Elephas maximus indicus: one gene and its partner. The protein of the gene in region 1 interacts with the protein of each later gene in a pairwise test. Links are inferred from orthologs where the notes say so. Each region holds a gene or a part of one and is shown in the gene's direction. Other genes may lie near its edges.

Region 1 (7,086 bases):
TAATCTTTAAATCTTAAACCAAAAATATCCCCCCAAAATCTTTTTTAAAACCAAACAAAAATTTAGCTTAACTAGTAAAGAATGGTCTGCCTTGACCACCGAGCCCTTTAAAGAACTATCTATATGGGATCAAATTGATAACAGTAACTTTAGGAACATAAAGGGGCAGTGAGTTTATGTTAGTGGAGGAAGAACATTTTGGAAAGGGAGGGTGAGAATGGCTGCACAACTTGAAGAATGTAATCAATGTCACTGAATTGTTCATGTAAACATTGTTGAATTGGTGTACGTTTTGCTAAGTATACTCTCAACAAAAAAAAATAATTTTTTAAAATGTTTCCCAAAAGATTACATGATAATTCAGAATTGAAATGAGAAGTTACTGTGTTACCAGAAGGGCAAGGGAACACAGAAGCTTGGCTTAATTCAATATTAACCAAAACCAAACCAAATCCGATGCCAGGGAGCCGATGCCAACTCATAGCGACCCTATACGACACAATAGAACTGCCCCATAGGGTTTCAGGAGCGGCTGGTGGATTCAAACAGTCAACATTTTGGTTAGCAGTCATAGCTCATGACCACTGAGCCACCAGGGATCCAATTCAATATTAGGTAAGAAAGTCATCTTGGGGGAAGATGGCCTCACTTACATGCTATCTGACAGCTATGAAAGGAAAAGGAACAGACACAGCATAGGTGAAAATGCCTTTCAGCTTGTCAGGAGATTCACACACCAGGCGGTAATGGGAGGGGTGGGGTTCGCGAGCCAAGCCACAGAAACCTCAAAGCTAAAGAGGCCTTGGAGGCCAGTGAGCCCTACAGGTGGGCGGCGATATCAACCGGTCCTAAAGACCTTGAACAGAAGACGCTCACCTCCCAGTGACCATGAATCTATGAAGGGAAAACTCACCTCCTCGGCCCTGCCCGGCAAAGGAGGAAAACTCCCAGATCCCGCACCACCTGGCCACTCGACCAGCCTAAGAGCGGCAGCAACCCCGCGGGTTATCCAGAAAGAGGTTGGCCTTAACCAATCCTTGTTTCTCATTCATTCTCTTTCCCTAAAATCGTATTTAAGTGAGCGATTAATTCTGGTATCTATAGTAACATCTTGTGATAAATATACTGTTGCTTACATGGTAGTTAAACATCTAAGTCATGCTTCCCATGAAAGCAGAGCAAGGAAAGCCTTTTCTTCTAAGAGACTTCCTTTGGCAGTAGCCCCACACGGTTTCCTTGTTTTTTCTCCTTTGTTTCATCTACCACCCCACCTGTTGGTAGAGCTACTGAAGATGTTATCAAGAAATTCTGCTCTTCTGTCTTTGTCTAGGCATGATTTAGGGATGTTACATTTTCAGATGAATGTTAACCCTCAGCGTTTTTAGTCTATAACAATAATGCAATGTACTTTTACACCTTTAACCTCAGAAGTAAAAACTTAAAGCAGAAAAAATTCTCAAAGTTTAAATTGGTTTAACTTATAGTAAAATGAGTTACTTCAGCCCGGGTAGGATACATTTTCAACCAATACTGTCTAACAAATCTATTTCTTATTGGTGTAAACCCATATCCATGTGTCATGGATTGAATTGTGCCCCCCCCCCCCCAAAATATGTGTCACTTTGGCTAGGCCATGATTCCCAGTATGGGTGTGGTTGTCCAACACTTTATGATCTGATGTGATTATCCTCTGTGTTGTAAATCCTACCTCTATGATGTTAATGAGGTGGGATTAGAGCCAGTTATGTTAATGAGGCAGCATGCAATTTACAGGAATAGATTGTATCTTTAGTCAATTTCTTTTGAGATATAAAAGAGAGGATCCAGCAAAGAGGAGAGGGACCTCCTACCACCAAGGAAGAAGAGCTGAGAGCAGAGCATGTCCTTTGGACCTGTCCCTGCGCTGAGAGACTCCTAAACCCAGGGGAAGATTGATGACAAGAACCTTCCTCCAGAGCCAATGGACAGAGAAAGCCTTCCCCTGGAAATGGCACTCCGAATTCAGACTTCTAGCCTCCTAGACTGTGAGAAAATAAATTTCTGTTAAAACCACCCACTTTTGGCATTTCTGTTATAGCAGCACTAGACAACTAGATGACACCATGGTTTTTATGAGTTGAATAAATAATAACTAACATTTTTATATCACTTCCTCTAAGCCAGGGCCCTATCTAAATATATGAAGCTCTGTTCGTCCTCACAACAATCCTTAGGGAAACCTAATATTTTCCTCATTTTGCAGATGAGGAAACTGAGGCACAGAGACAGCAAGATACCCAGACCATCTGTCCCCAGAGCCTTTGCTTTTTCCCACCATGTTAGGCTTTATCCATTTCTGAGATCCAAAATATTATTTAGTGCATACATCCATGGTAACAAAATCAGAATTAAAAATTAAATTCAGAAGGACCTTGGAAGACAGGCCTGGGTATCTGCTTCCAAAAGGTTATAGCCTTGAAAATCCTGTGCAGCAGTTCTACTCTGCACAAATGGGGTCAGCATGAGTCGAATTCGACCCAACAGCAACTAACAACAATAACAACATGTGCCAGTCACCACGCTACTCGCAGGGAAGAAAAAATCAACAGGGGACATAGGTCTTGCCTTCAGGGGGCCTGCAGTTTGCTGAGAAAGAGAAGCTTATTTTCAGATGCCTAAAAAAAGGAGACAAATGACTGTTTTTTTTAAAATGGATACTGAATTAAATAGTTTTTCAGATGAGTTTGTGTTTTTTGAGTGTAAAAAGGACCACATTTTTGTGAATGCCCTGTGTTTTATGTAAAACATAAAATCTGCACTTTAAAAAAATTGCTTGTTGTTATCTTTTAAATAAATATTATATGACAACAAATCACATCATCCTGCATTCTGTGTAATACCTAGGAGGCACAGTGCTCTAGTGCTTTTATTCTGAGAATTTTCACAGCACTCCTAGCATTATGCAGAGTCCTCAGAGTCATCAGTATTCTAATTCCAACTATTGAATAAATTTTGCAATATAGAGCCATTGAATATAGTTTTATTAATTTTTCATTTTACTCATTTTCATTGTCATCCTTGTATACTTGGGGCTCAGTACAATTGCATACAATTGCCTTTCTACTAAAATATTCTATAGTTTAAATTTTTAGATTTGGTTTTTTGTTGGTAATTTGGGCAGGATTCCCCAAATTTAATTTCACAATAATAATTTTTATTTTAATAAATTATCCTAATTTCTTACGTGAAAAGAGTGAGGCTCAAACAAATTAAATATTATATCCAAGATTACATACTAATCCAGAGGAATAGTGCAGAAGAGAAATCCTATATAGGGCTCAATAAACCTCAAACTGCTTATGTTAATAAGTAGCTCGGGTTTATTAATGTGTGTTTTCCGAACCAATATGTTAGAAACACAGAAGCTGTCATAAAAATGTGGTTACCCATAACCTGTGTGCTCTGGGTACAGTAAGTCAGAATGAAACGTTGCCATTTGACTTTTTAAAAAGTACATTCTTCTGTGCTTTTTAACTAATCAGGTGACATTGTTGGTCTTTTTTCTAAAGATGGAGTCCTTGAGTGGTATAAATGGCTAAGCTCTCCTAATTGAAAGGTTGGCAGTTCCAACCCACCAGAGGTGCCTCGAAAAAAAGGCCTGATGATTTGCTTCCAAAAGGTGATACCCTTGAAAACCCTGTGGAGTCCAGTTCTACTCTGAAACCCGTGGGGTCACCTGGAGTCAGAGTCAGCTTGATGGCATGGGCTTAGTTTAGCTTTCCAAAGACAATGGCGTAAAAATAATTTTTTTTCATTATAAAAGTTAGAAAGGAAGACTTTATGGTTGAGTGACAAGCCCCTGAATTTTATTTCAACATCTGGTTTTATATAGACACTAGTGAAACTGAGACATTTAATTTCTTCAGATTTTTACTCTGCATTAATTCTCCCATGTTTGTTATTATATGACGCTTTCATTATGACTCTAAACTTTTTTGTTGTTCTCCAGCGCCACCCCCCCACCCCCCACCCTCCATCCTCAACTCTGCTTCAAAATTTCTGTAACTCATTTACTGAAAAGTCTAGAGTGCAAGGGAGTGAACTGGGCGGGCCATATTGCCAAGGGAATGGAGGATTGGCAGGAAGTTGGTAGGTTGATAAGAACCAAAAACTAAACCCAAAACCCAAACCCATTGCTTTCAAGTGGATTCCAACTCCTAGCCACCTTATAGGACAGAGTAGAACTACCCCACAGGGTTTCCAGGGAGCGGCTGGTGGGTTTGAACTGCCGTAGCTCTTAACCACTGTGCCACCAGGGAGCCACGTTGGTGAGAAGTCTTGCTAATTTGCTGTATAAACTGAACGGAGTGTGGGTGCGGCTTCCTTTCCCCATGAACTCAGGAGGTGTGTGTTTTGACCTGTGTCCCGATGAATGTTGCACCTAATATCCCCATATTTGGTTAAACAAACGTTTGCTGTTTGTATTTCAACTCTTTCTGCCAATAACTGCTGGAAGTTATTTACCGCAGCTGGAGAGAAGCACTGACAATCTGCAAAGTGTGAAATCATTCCATTTTATTGGTGTGGTCTCTTTAGGACTGATAATGTTCAGAGAAGGAGAATTGCCAAAAGTCCATTTTATTATAATAAAAAAAATAGTGTCAAAGCTGGGTGAGTCAAAGGACAATGCAGTGCCCTTTAGACGGTGAACTTGATGTAGTGAGAGCTTGTTTTTGTTAGAAACCACCGTATTTAGGGGAAATGCTTTCATCTGAAAGCGATTGCTGTACTTCCTTCAACCCCCGTCTCCCTCGCCCCATCTGATGAAAGTCCTTGCTGAGTAGCATCTCAGACGTGGCTCGTTTGGAGAAAATGCGGCAAGAGGGTAATAAGGCTTCGGTGGGCGAAGGGCTGTTAGTCATGCGTCCTAACGCGCGCAGTTTTTCTTTTTCCTTTCCTTGAGTATTGGCTCCACCTGGAGAGTGCTATGCCCTCGCCCCTGTCTGTGCGCCGTGTCCTCCCGGGCGAGTTGTCTCCCTCTGGGGACTCGCGGCCCTGCAGCAGCCCCTGCGAGCGCCCAGGGCGGCGGGGACAGCGCGTCCTGGGTGGCACCCCTCCCAGGGCACCTCGGCTGCCCCGCCGCCTGGCCTGGTGCTCCATCGACTGGGAACAGGTGCGCTTCCTGCAAAGGCTGGGCGCTGGAGGCTTTGGCTCGGTCTACAAGGCCACTTACCATGGGCTTCCCGTGGCCATAAAACAAGTGAACAAGAGCACCAAGAACCGACTGGCGTCGCAGCGAAGCTTTTGGGCTGAGCTCAACATAGCCAGGCTCCACCACGACAACATCGTGCGGGTGGTAGCTGCCAGTACGCGCACGCCCGCGGGTTTTAATAGTCTAGGCACCATCGTCATGGAGTTCGGGGGCAACACCACTTTACACCAACTCATCTACGGGGCTACCGGCCTCCCCGAGGAGCCTTCCTGCTCTGCTGGAGGGCTGTTAAGTCTGACAAAGTGTCTCAAGTATTCCCTCGATGTTGTGAAGGGCCTGATGTTCCTTCACTCACAAAGCATCGTGCACTTGGACCTGAAACCAGCGAACATTCTGATCAGCGAACAGGACGTCTGCAAAATTGGGGACTTTGGTTGCTCGCAGAGGCTGGAAGGTCTGCTAGGCTTCCACGCTCCTCACCACCTAGGCGGTACCTACACCCACCGCGCCCCAGAGCTCCTGAAAGGAGAGACCATAACTCCCAAAGCTGACATCTATTCTTTTGCCATAACTCTCTGGCAGATGACGACCAAGGAGGTGCCTTACTCAGGGGAGCGACAGTATGTGCTCTATGCTGTTGTGGCCCACAACCTTCGCCCATCTCTCTCAGTGGCTGTCTTCACGGACTCTGTCCTGGGCCAAAGGCTTGAGAAGATCATCCAGAGCTGCTGGGGAGCCAGTACTTCCCAGAGGCCAAATGCAGAGCTTCTCTTTGTTGACCTTAACTCTTTAAAATCTGAGTTCTGCTGACTTTAAGCCTGTGTCAGGTATGCTTTTCCTTGTTTCTATTCGTTTTTAAAGAACTGGAGATGTAGAAGAAAACCTATGTATAGGATGGACTTTTGGAAAATAAAGTTACTTAAAACCTCCTTTAGTCTCAAGTGATTTTTTTTAAGACAAAGTCCTGAGCTAAAAACCTAGTACTTGTCTTAGTACTGTTGATAACTAACCCTTTTCCTTTACATAGCTGTAGGCTTTGCTTCCCACAGCTAGTGTTTAACAGTTCCATACTATTGCCTTTTCCCAAATGTTCTATTGAAAAAACCAATTTGTCCAAACAGAACTAAACTGTGGAATTGCCAATTTTTTTCTATAAATTTAAATAATAATTCAAATCACATAAATTCAAACTATTTGCAGGTTACTTGGTTCCATGTCAAATCAGTAAAAAAAAAAAAAAAAAAAAAATTCCTGTGCCTTCCCACAAAAAAAAAATTCTTCACACGTAAGATTTACAAACTGAGATAAAATTATTTTTAAAAAGAATAAACATTAAATGATTTGTGATATTTTGAACCTGTGATTTTTTTTTTTGAACATGTGCATTGCCGTGAGTAAAATCGTTTTCTAAAATGCTTCTGAACTGAGTGTCTTTTGCCTGGTGTTTGGACTCAGAAATAAATGACACAACAAAGGGTGATTATATGATGCGGTGGGGGAGACAACCCTAAAGAATAGTAAAATTTAACATTTGGACAGAGGAGAACAGGCAAGGAGAGCCAGATAGCCAATTATAGAAGTAAAGGCAACGGCTGCTGGCACATAAGTCCCTAAAAGAATGAGGTGAGTGGAATCTTGTCATCAGGGCAACTCTGAACTTCCGCTTGGCAGCAGCAACCTCACTGAGCAGTAGAGGGAAAGGCCATTGTGGAGGACGGGGTAGTTCACGGCACGCGCCGGAAGGAAGCCGAGGCTCTGCGTGGGCTGCTGGGGCAGCAGGAGATGTAGACGCTCGAAAAAGTGGTAACACACACACACAAGTTTTCAATGGTTAGTTTTGTTTTAGAATGAAGGAAATGAATTTTTGTGGAGGAAGCCAGAGGGGACAAAGATAA
Region 2 (8,146 bases), on another chromosome or scaffold:
ATCAGGTTCCTTAGAATAGCTGCTCTCCTAGTGCCCTAAATGCTGTTTGCCTTCGTGTGTGATATGGTCATGGGAAGCACTTGGGACTTTGAGTTGAAGACCTGGACTTGAGTTCTTGTTCCACCATGTATTAGCTAGGTGACCTCAGGCAGTCACTTGACCTCATCAGTAAAAAGAGAATATAAATATCCATTCATTCATTATTCAAACATTTATTGCTGTGAACTACATGCCAATCATATTATACCAGTGGCTTTTAATTATCCCTGAATTCACATTAGAGTCACCTGAGTTGTTTTGGTTTTTAGTCCCCAAATAAATAAATAATAAATTCATCTTCATAAAAATCAAATATACTTGCATGGCAAAACCCATCATAAAGCAAATTCATAAGATAAATTACACACTAGGGAAAATATCTGTAATTCAATATCAGAGACAAATACCTAATTTCCAATCTATACAAAAAACTCTTACAAGAAGACAACCATAAAAATGTTTTTAAAATACACTAAAAACATACAGGTGTCTTAAAAAATTAAGACGTTCAGCCTTCGTCATAAGAAATACAAATCTAAGACACCATTTTTCACGTTTCTATCAAAACGACAAAAATCCAAACGTTTGCTAACACTGTTAGCGAAGGCATGGTGAAACAGGCATTTCTGTTTGTTGCAGATGGAGAGACTTCACTACATATAACTTTCTAAACTGTGGATTTTGAACCATTTTAAACTATTATCTGGGGAGCCCTGGTGGCACAATGGTTAAGTGCTTGCCTGCTAACTGAAAGGTCAGTGGTTCGAACCCACCAGCTGCTCTGAGAGAGAAAGATGTGGGAGCCTGCTTTCATAAGAATTTACAGCCTTGGAAACCCTATGGGGCAGTTCTACTCTGTCCTATAGGGTAGCTATGAGTCAGAATTTGACTTGATGGCAATGTTTTTTTTTTTTTATTTTAAAATATAATCTATTCAAAATTATGTCGTAAACAAAAAATCTGCATCACAATATGTTCTCTCATAAGTTGAACGACAATAAAAAAGTGAAAAAACAATTACTTAATTTTCATATAGGCACATAAAGCCTCAGTTATTAGTAGGATGACCAATTCATCCTAGTTTGCCAAGGACCTTTCTGGTTTTAAAAGCGAAAATTACACATCCCAGGAATTATCTCAGTCCCAGGCAAACCAAGAATGCTCCTTAGAAGCAAGGATGGCAAGACTTCATCTCACATACTTTGGACATGTTACCAGGAGGGACCAGTCCCTGGAGAATGACATCATGCTTGGTAAAGTAGAGGGTCAGCAAAAAACAGGAAGACCCTCAATGAGATGGATTGACACGGTGGCTGCAACAATGGGCTCAAGCATAACAATGATTGTAAGGATGGCACAGGACCAGGCAGTGTTTCATGCTGTTTTATACAGAGTTGCTATGAGTCAGAACTAACTCAAGGGCACCTAACAACAACAACAGGCAAACCAAGATGGCTGGTCACTCTATGTACCAAGGGGGAGAGAGGAAAATAAACCCTTAAAGCAAAGACACAGGTACCATTCAACTACCCAAACAGGGAGGTCAGTGATCGTGTACCCTGCTTCGCTTTGTAGCATCACAGAAAGGAGGCACTGCCACTACTTCAAAAAAAAGTTGCTGTTGAGTCACTTCTGACTCATGGTGACCCCACGTGTATCCGAGTAGAACTGTGCTCCATCACCTGAAGAGTTTTTAAAACTACTGAGTCCTTAAAATAAAACAGCATATAATATTAGGTGACTGTATAATAAAATAATTTATTAATATGTATATATAATGATTCCCAGGCCTCAGCCCCAGAACTTCTGATTTTGTTGGTCTGCTACCTGGTATCAGTATTTTTAAAAGCGCTACAGACGATTCTAATATGTAGCCAAGGTTGAGAACAACTGAGCGGAAGATACAGAAAACAACAAAATGCAACACATTAGCTTCAAGAAGCTATGAATCTGAGCTCTACCACTTACGAAGGATGCAACCTTGAGCAAGACAGAGGACACCTACTTTCCTATGTTGATACGAAAGTTAAATGAAACAAATTGGTGAAAACACTTAGCAGAGGGCTCAGCCTACAGCAAGTGCTCAACGAATGCTAGTTGCATTTGACAAGTATTAATTTGGACCAGTTTCATTCTGTTGTACTTAGAGTCACTATGAGTCAGAACCAACTCAACAACACCTAAAAACAACACAAATCTAGACCAGTAGTTCTCAATTTTCAGTGTGCAATGGAATCACCCAGACCAAATCAAACCAAACCTCACTGCCATCGAGTTGATTCCAACTCATAGCGACCCTATAGGACAGAACTGCCCCATAGGTGCTATAGGTGAAAGTTTACAGTTCAAGTGAATTTCTCATTCAAAAATTTATACACATATTGTTTTGTGACATTGGTTGCAATCCCCACAACGTGACAGCAAGTTCCTCCTTTCTACCCCAGTTTTCCTGTGTCCATTTATCCAGTTTCTGTCCCTTCCTGCCTTCTCATCCTGCTTTTGGACAGGAGCTGCCCATTTGGTCTTGAATATTTGATTGAACTAAGAAGCACGTTCCTCGCGTGTATTAATTTTTTGTTTTATTGTTTTATAGGCCTGTCTAATCTTTGTCTGGAAAGTGGCTTCGGGAATGGTTTCAGTTCTGGGTTAACAGTGTCCTGGAGCCATAGTTCCAGGGTTCCTCCAGTCTCTGTCAGATCATTAAGCCTGGTCTTTTTACATGAACTTGAATTCTGTTCTACATTTTTCTCCTGCTCTGTCCAGTACTCTCTGTTGTGTTCCCTGTCAGGGCAGTCATTGGTGGTAGCTGGACACCATCTAGTTCATCTGGTCACAGGTTGGTGGAGTCTCTGGTTCATGTGGTCCTTAGTCCTTTGGGTTAGTATTTTCCTTGTGTCTTTGGTTTTCTTCATTCTCCTTTGCTCTGGGTGGGATAGGACCAATGGATGTATCTTAAATGGCTGCTTGCAAGCTTTTAAGACCCCAGACTCTACTCACCAAAGTGGGATGTAGAACATCTTCTTTATAATCTCATGCCAGTTGACCTGGATGTCTCCTCAGACTACGGTCTTTATGCCCCGTCCCAGCTACTTGTTCCCTCAAAGTGTTTGGATGTGTCTAGGAAACTCCTATGCTTTTGCTTTGGTCCCAATGTCTTGACTTCCCCTGTATTATGTGCTGTCCTTCCCTTCACTGGAGTTGACACTTGTTTACTACATAGTTAGTGACACGGTTAAAATCTTTATGGAAGCAGACTGCCACATCTTTCTCCCACAGAGTGGCCGGTGGGTTCGAACAACCCACTTTTCTGTTAGCAGCTGACAGCTTTAACTGCTGCACACCATGGCTCTGGAACTGATTTAGAGGACTGGTTAAACCACACATTGCTTAGGCCCACCTCCAGAGTTTCTGATTCAGTGTCTAGGGTGGATCTGAAATTTGCATTTCTAAGAAGTTCCCAGGTGTAACTGATGCTGTTGGTCCCAGGATCACATTTTCAGAACCAGTGATCTTGACTATAAACTCTACAGGACAATCTACTTGTTTACTAAAGCATGTTCAATGCCAAATAGTTGCCAGCAGAGACTATATATGCGATGAATTTTTTTTTTCAGTTAATGAACCACTCTGTGCCTGAGAATAACTAGTATCTACTGTCAACAACATGAGAGCAAAGATTTTGTTTTGTTCAATACTCTTTCTACAACACCAAGAACGTGGCTCGGCACACAACAGTGCTCAAAAAGTAATTATTAAAAAAATAAATAGCTGTAAGTTATAAATGATGTCATGTATATGAAAAAAAGTGTGCAAATATTAGCGACAATTATTGTTATTCATTACACTAGGTAATAATTAATCGAGAACTGTGGCTCTTGCAACAGACTCAGACCTTTACTAACCTCTTACTGTCAGTAACTTGCCTAACTGAATCAACAAGCTATTAGATGGGCACTGTTGTTATTAGCGCCACTTTTCAGATGAAGGAAACTGAGGGCCAGAGAGATTAAGTTGCCAAAGCTAGCGAACTGCAAAGCCACAATTCGAACACACGCGGCCTGAAAGCAGCGTTAGTGCTCTTTGCCACCATACATTCAGCAAATGCTACGACCAACAAAGGTCACGGGTGAAAACAACCTCGAAGACGGGAACATGGGGCCAGGGGCCAGGGGTCAGAAGGAAGTCGGGATTCAGCAGGAACACAAGATCAGAGGTCACCAATACGTCACAGGAGGATAGAGGGGGCGTCCCCAAGGATAGTCCGACCCATCCTTCTCAATCGGATTTCAGCCGGTGGGGCCAGAAAGTGACAAAGATACCCGAAAAAAATAAATAAGCAGAAATGAATAAAAATCCTCAGATTCTCTAGGCGGCGGCCATGCTGGAAATGAGGAGAGGAGCATGCGCAGCATCCGGGTTCCCGAGCGCGCACCTAGTGCAGACGTGGCAGACGGAGCGGCCAAGCTCTCCAGCGTGGGGGCGGCACTTCCGGGGACGACGCGACAGCCCCCTCGGAACCGGAAGTGGAGCCTGGGAGCCTTGACGTTAGGAACGTAGTCGGACCTGGATCTGGAGCCGGGTGAGGAGTGGCATCGGGTGGTTGGTGGGTAGGAAAGCAGCATAGAGGCCGAGGTATCACTGGCCAGATCGGGGCCCCGTCTGAGAAAGAAGGGAGGAGTCCGGGGGCAGAACCCAGGAAGAGACCCTCACCTCACGCATCCACAATCCAGGATCAGCTCTGGACCCTCCCTTCGCCTCCCGGCCCAGATTCCGGCTCGCGTTTCCTGTCCCCAGCTTGTTGAAGGGCGCAGGACGTTCGGTCGCCAGGCTTAATGGACCAGCGATGTCTCTCATCCTGGCCCGAGAAGCTGGCTTGGCCCCTCGGTCTTGATCTCCAGCACTGCTAGCCACCACCTCCACAGTTCGACTACTTCCAGAGTTCTAGGAAGCCTGCCCCGCCCCCTTAGGTTGTCATCCTCGACTGCTTTCAGGATGGAGTTGAGACTTGAGCTTGACTCTAAATGCTTGGTGTGTTTAAGAAGAGGGGGTAGATGTTGCTTTGTCGAAAGCCTGTGTCCTACTCCAGCCTCGACTTTTTATTTCCTGGGCTTTTTATTGTCCCCCTCCACTAACTTTAGGGGAGGGGAGCATCTGTCAAGATCAGTGTCAGTGACCTGTGCAAGGTTCAGAATTTGGAAGAACAGATCCTGAGATGGCAAAGGAGGCCCTGTCGAGGAGCAGCTTAGCTTTTCTATGGTCGAGATGGCCCTTCCTAGCAAAGGGGAGAGGTCCATTGTTCCACTGCAGCAGCTGTGAGTTCTGCTGCATCCTGGGCCCCTTCCGTCTATGGGATAGTTGGAAGTGGTGAGACTCTTTAAAGTAGATGTCATCACACAGTCCTCTTCTTTGAAGGATCCTAGTAAGGCTCTCTCATTCATTCCTCTGTCTCTAGGCAAGACTAATAATTTTGGAGGTGGCCAAGATACATGACAAGCATATAAGGAGAGCAGAAGCAGAGAGTTGGCACTGCCTCAGGTGGCGTTTCATCCATTGTGCACGTTGCCATGAGTCCAGGTGACTGGATGGCAGCTAACAACAACTCTGAAGGATAAGATGAATGATTTTTTTGATGAACTATAACTTTGTCACTGATTCTATAGGTTATTGTGAAGAAGTTTTTGTTCCTGGCCTGCACTCAGCTCTAATCTGGTACCTTGCTTGAGTTTTCAGAAGTCCTTTACATTTAGGGAATTTGATGTTTCAGTTGTAATGTGCATATACTCTTTTGATGAGAAAACTAGGAATGGAGTAGGAGTAGCATTTGGATTATTACAGTTTAACCAAAGAATGTCATTTCTCTAATCAGTTACTGTAAAATTTGTCTTTCCAAGGGAAGGGAATTACACTGGTCTGTTTTAGACTTGTAGCCTGGTGTTTAAAAAGACTGGCACTCTCTAGGGTACTCACTGTTTGTGGAATGAATGGATGCTAAAGTGAATGAATGGAAAGTAGGAGCATTGTTTCATTTACCTGTAATATCACAGTAGTTCATCAGCCCCAGGACTCTTTGTGTGACTACACACTAGAAATCATACCACTGGGGAATGGAGGCTGCTGCTCCATTCCAGTGGCCTTATCTGAAGTTGAAATTTATACCCTCTGGTAGTGACAAAGCATGGGGTTCAGAGTAACAAAATCCTTGCTCCCAGGTGGTAATATGGGTACTGGCTGGGGCAGAAAATTACTAAGATCCTGTACTGTGGGAACGATTCCTGATAAAGTCAGTTCTTTTTGTCTCTACTTCCTACCCCAAATGGTTGCTTTCTTTTTAGAAAGTTGGTTTGGACTAATTCCCTTCTTCTCTCTTATTTTATAGGTGATACTGAGTCGGGGATGCTCTCATAATGAATGTCAACCAGTCAGCTCCTCCTTTGCCGCCATATGGGCAGCCCCAGTCTGTCTACCCAGGATATCATCAGTCCAGCTATGGTGGGCAATCAGGGTCCATGGTCCCCCCAGTCCCCTATGGAACCTCCTATAATGGCCCAGTACCAGGCTATCAGCAAACACCTCCCCCAGGTATGTATGTATTTCTAAGTTTCTTTTGAGCTGTGGAAGGGAATCATGAATCTGGTTCTCTGTCACTGAGATCCCTGTGGGCAGTCTGCCCTTCCCTGTTTTTATCATAGGATGACTGTTTCTGGTTCAAACTTAAGCATCTAGTGGAAGCATATCTTCCTGGTTTAGTGGCAGCTCACTTCTGGTGGGTATCACCCCGAGATGCAGCCTCACTCTGGTCAGAACTGGATGAAAGGGTTGTGGTCCCAGCTCCTCCAGAGACTGTGGCCAGGACTATTTCTTATTGTTCTAAAGTCTTCCTGAAATCACTTGTTCCTTGTGTATTGAGAATGCCTTTCAGTGGACAGAAGGTTCTATAAATGACTCTTGGAGCTAGTTCATGGAGGAAAAGTGTGGTGTTCATGGAGGAAAAGTGTGGTGTACATGTTCCTGATTTTTGATGCCTCTCATATCTTTCTGCTGATAGCATTCCTTTTCCTTTGCTTGTGTTTCCTTTGGTTCTTAGGTGCCCTGTAATTTCAGGACAATAGAAGAAGACTAACCTGGTGCTGCCCTTAGGATCAGTGTTTGGCTTTTATTTTACTTCTTCAAGGAAGGGCGGCTAGTACTTTACAAACTATCTAAAGGGGCTTCTTGGAAGAAGCAGGATCTTTAGTTAGGCTAATTGAGGACTTACTGTGTGCCCGCAAACTTTTTATATTTTTACTTTTAAGAGAGTAAATTCTGTAAAGGAATATGGGAAAAACAAGATACCAAGGAGGCATAGTAAGATCTAGGAAATGAATAAAGTATTACTATTTTAATTATAACTTTGAAAAAGTTATTCATGAGGTGTTGAGATTAGGTCTCATTTCTGTAAAAAATCTTTACCGTGGGTTGGGACTTTGGCTGGTCAGAGTCCACCTCTGCTCTCCCAAGTCCTGGCTTATCGTGATGGAGTTTGGCATTGCCTCAAGAGGCAGCTTTGTTATTGACAACAAAACACAGCAAAAGTGATGGTGCCATGCTGTCTCATTAGCAGGAGAGCAGCTAGGAGTACATAAAAAAAAAAAATAAAAACCCACTGCTGTCGAGTCGATTCCGACTCATAGCGACCCTACAGGACAGAGTAGAACTGCCCCATAGTTTCCAAGGAGTGCCGGGCGGATTTGAACTGCTGACCTCTTGGTTAGCAGCCATAGCCCTTAACCACTATACCACCAGGGTTTCCGAGGAGTACATAGCAAGGTGTATATAAGTTTTTGTATGAGAGACTGACTTGATTTGTAAACTTTCACTTAAAGTACAGTAAATAAAAAAAAGAAAAAGAAAAAAAGTGATGGTGCCAAGTAGCTAGTTTTCTTCTGGTGTTTCACCTGGGAAGGACAGTCGGGGTAGTATGCAGCAGATGGTTGGGGTAGTAGAAGTAGCTTGATGGGAACTCTGAGGAGTGGAAAGGATGAGCACAGCTTTTGTGCAAAGAATGGAGTAAAGCTTTTGTCAGAAGACAGGTGGCAGCACTAATGGGAGGGCAGGCCAACTGTCCTGA

The links.
Region 2: the proteins of MOS (region 1) and SEC24C interact in binary tests that used the Homo sapiens proteins (3 or more experiments, as listed by UniProt). The two-hybrid records come from large-scale screens. The link is inferred for Elephas maximus indicus from reciprocal best matches to the Homo sapiens genes MOS and SEC24C.

What each region holds. Positions count from the first base shown.
Region 1 is NC_064837.1:76,846,690-76,853,775, forward strand, and holds MOS (proto-oncogene serine/threonine-protein kinase mos), read left to right. Parts: upstream 1-4,966; coding exon 4,967-6,001; downstream 6,002-7,086.
Region 2 is NC_064834.1:13,843,657-13,851,802, reverse strand, and holds the start of SEC24C (protein transport protein Sec24C), read left to right. Parts: upstream 1-4,514; 5' UTR 4,515-4,618; intron 4,619-4,749; exon of another isoform or gene 4,750-4,917; intron 4,918-6,415; 5' UTR 6,416-6,443; coding exon 6,444-6,618; intron 6,619-8,146. UniProt on the Homo sapiens protein: Component of the coat protein complex II (COPII) which promotes the formation of transport vesicles from the endoplasmic reticulum (ER).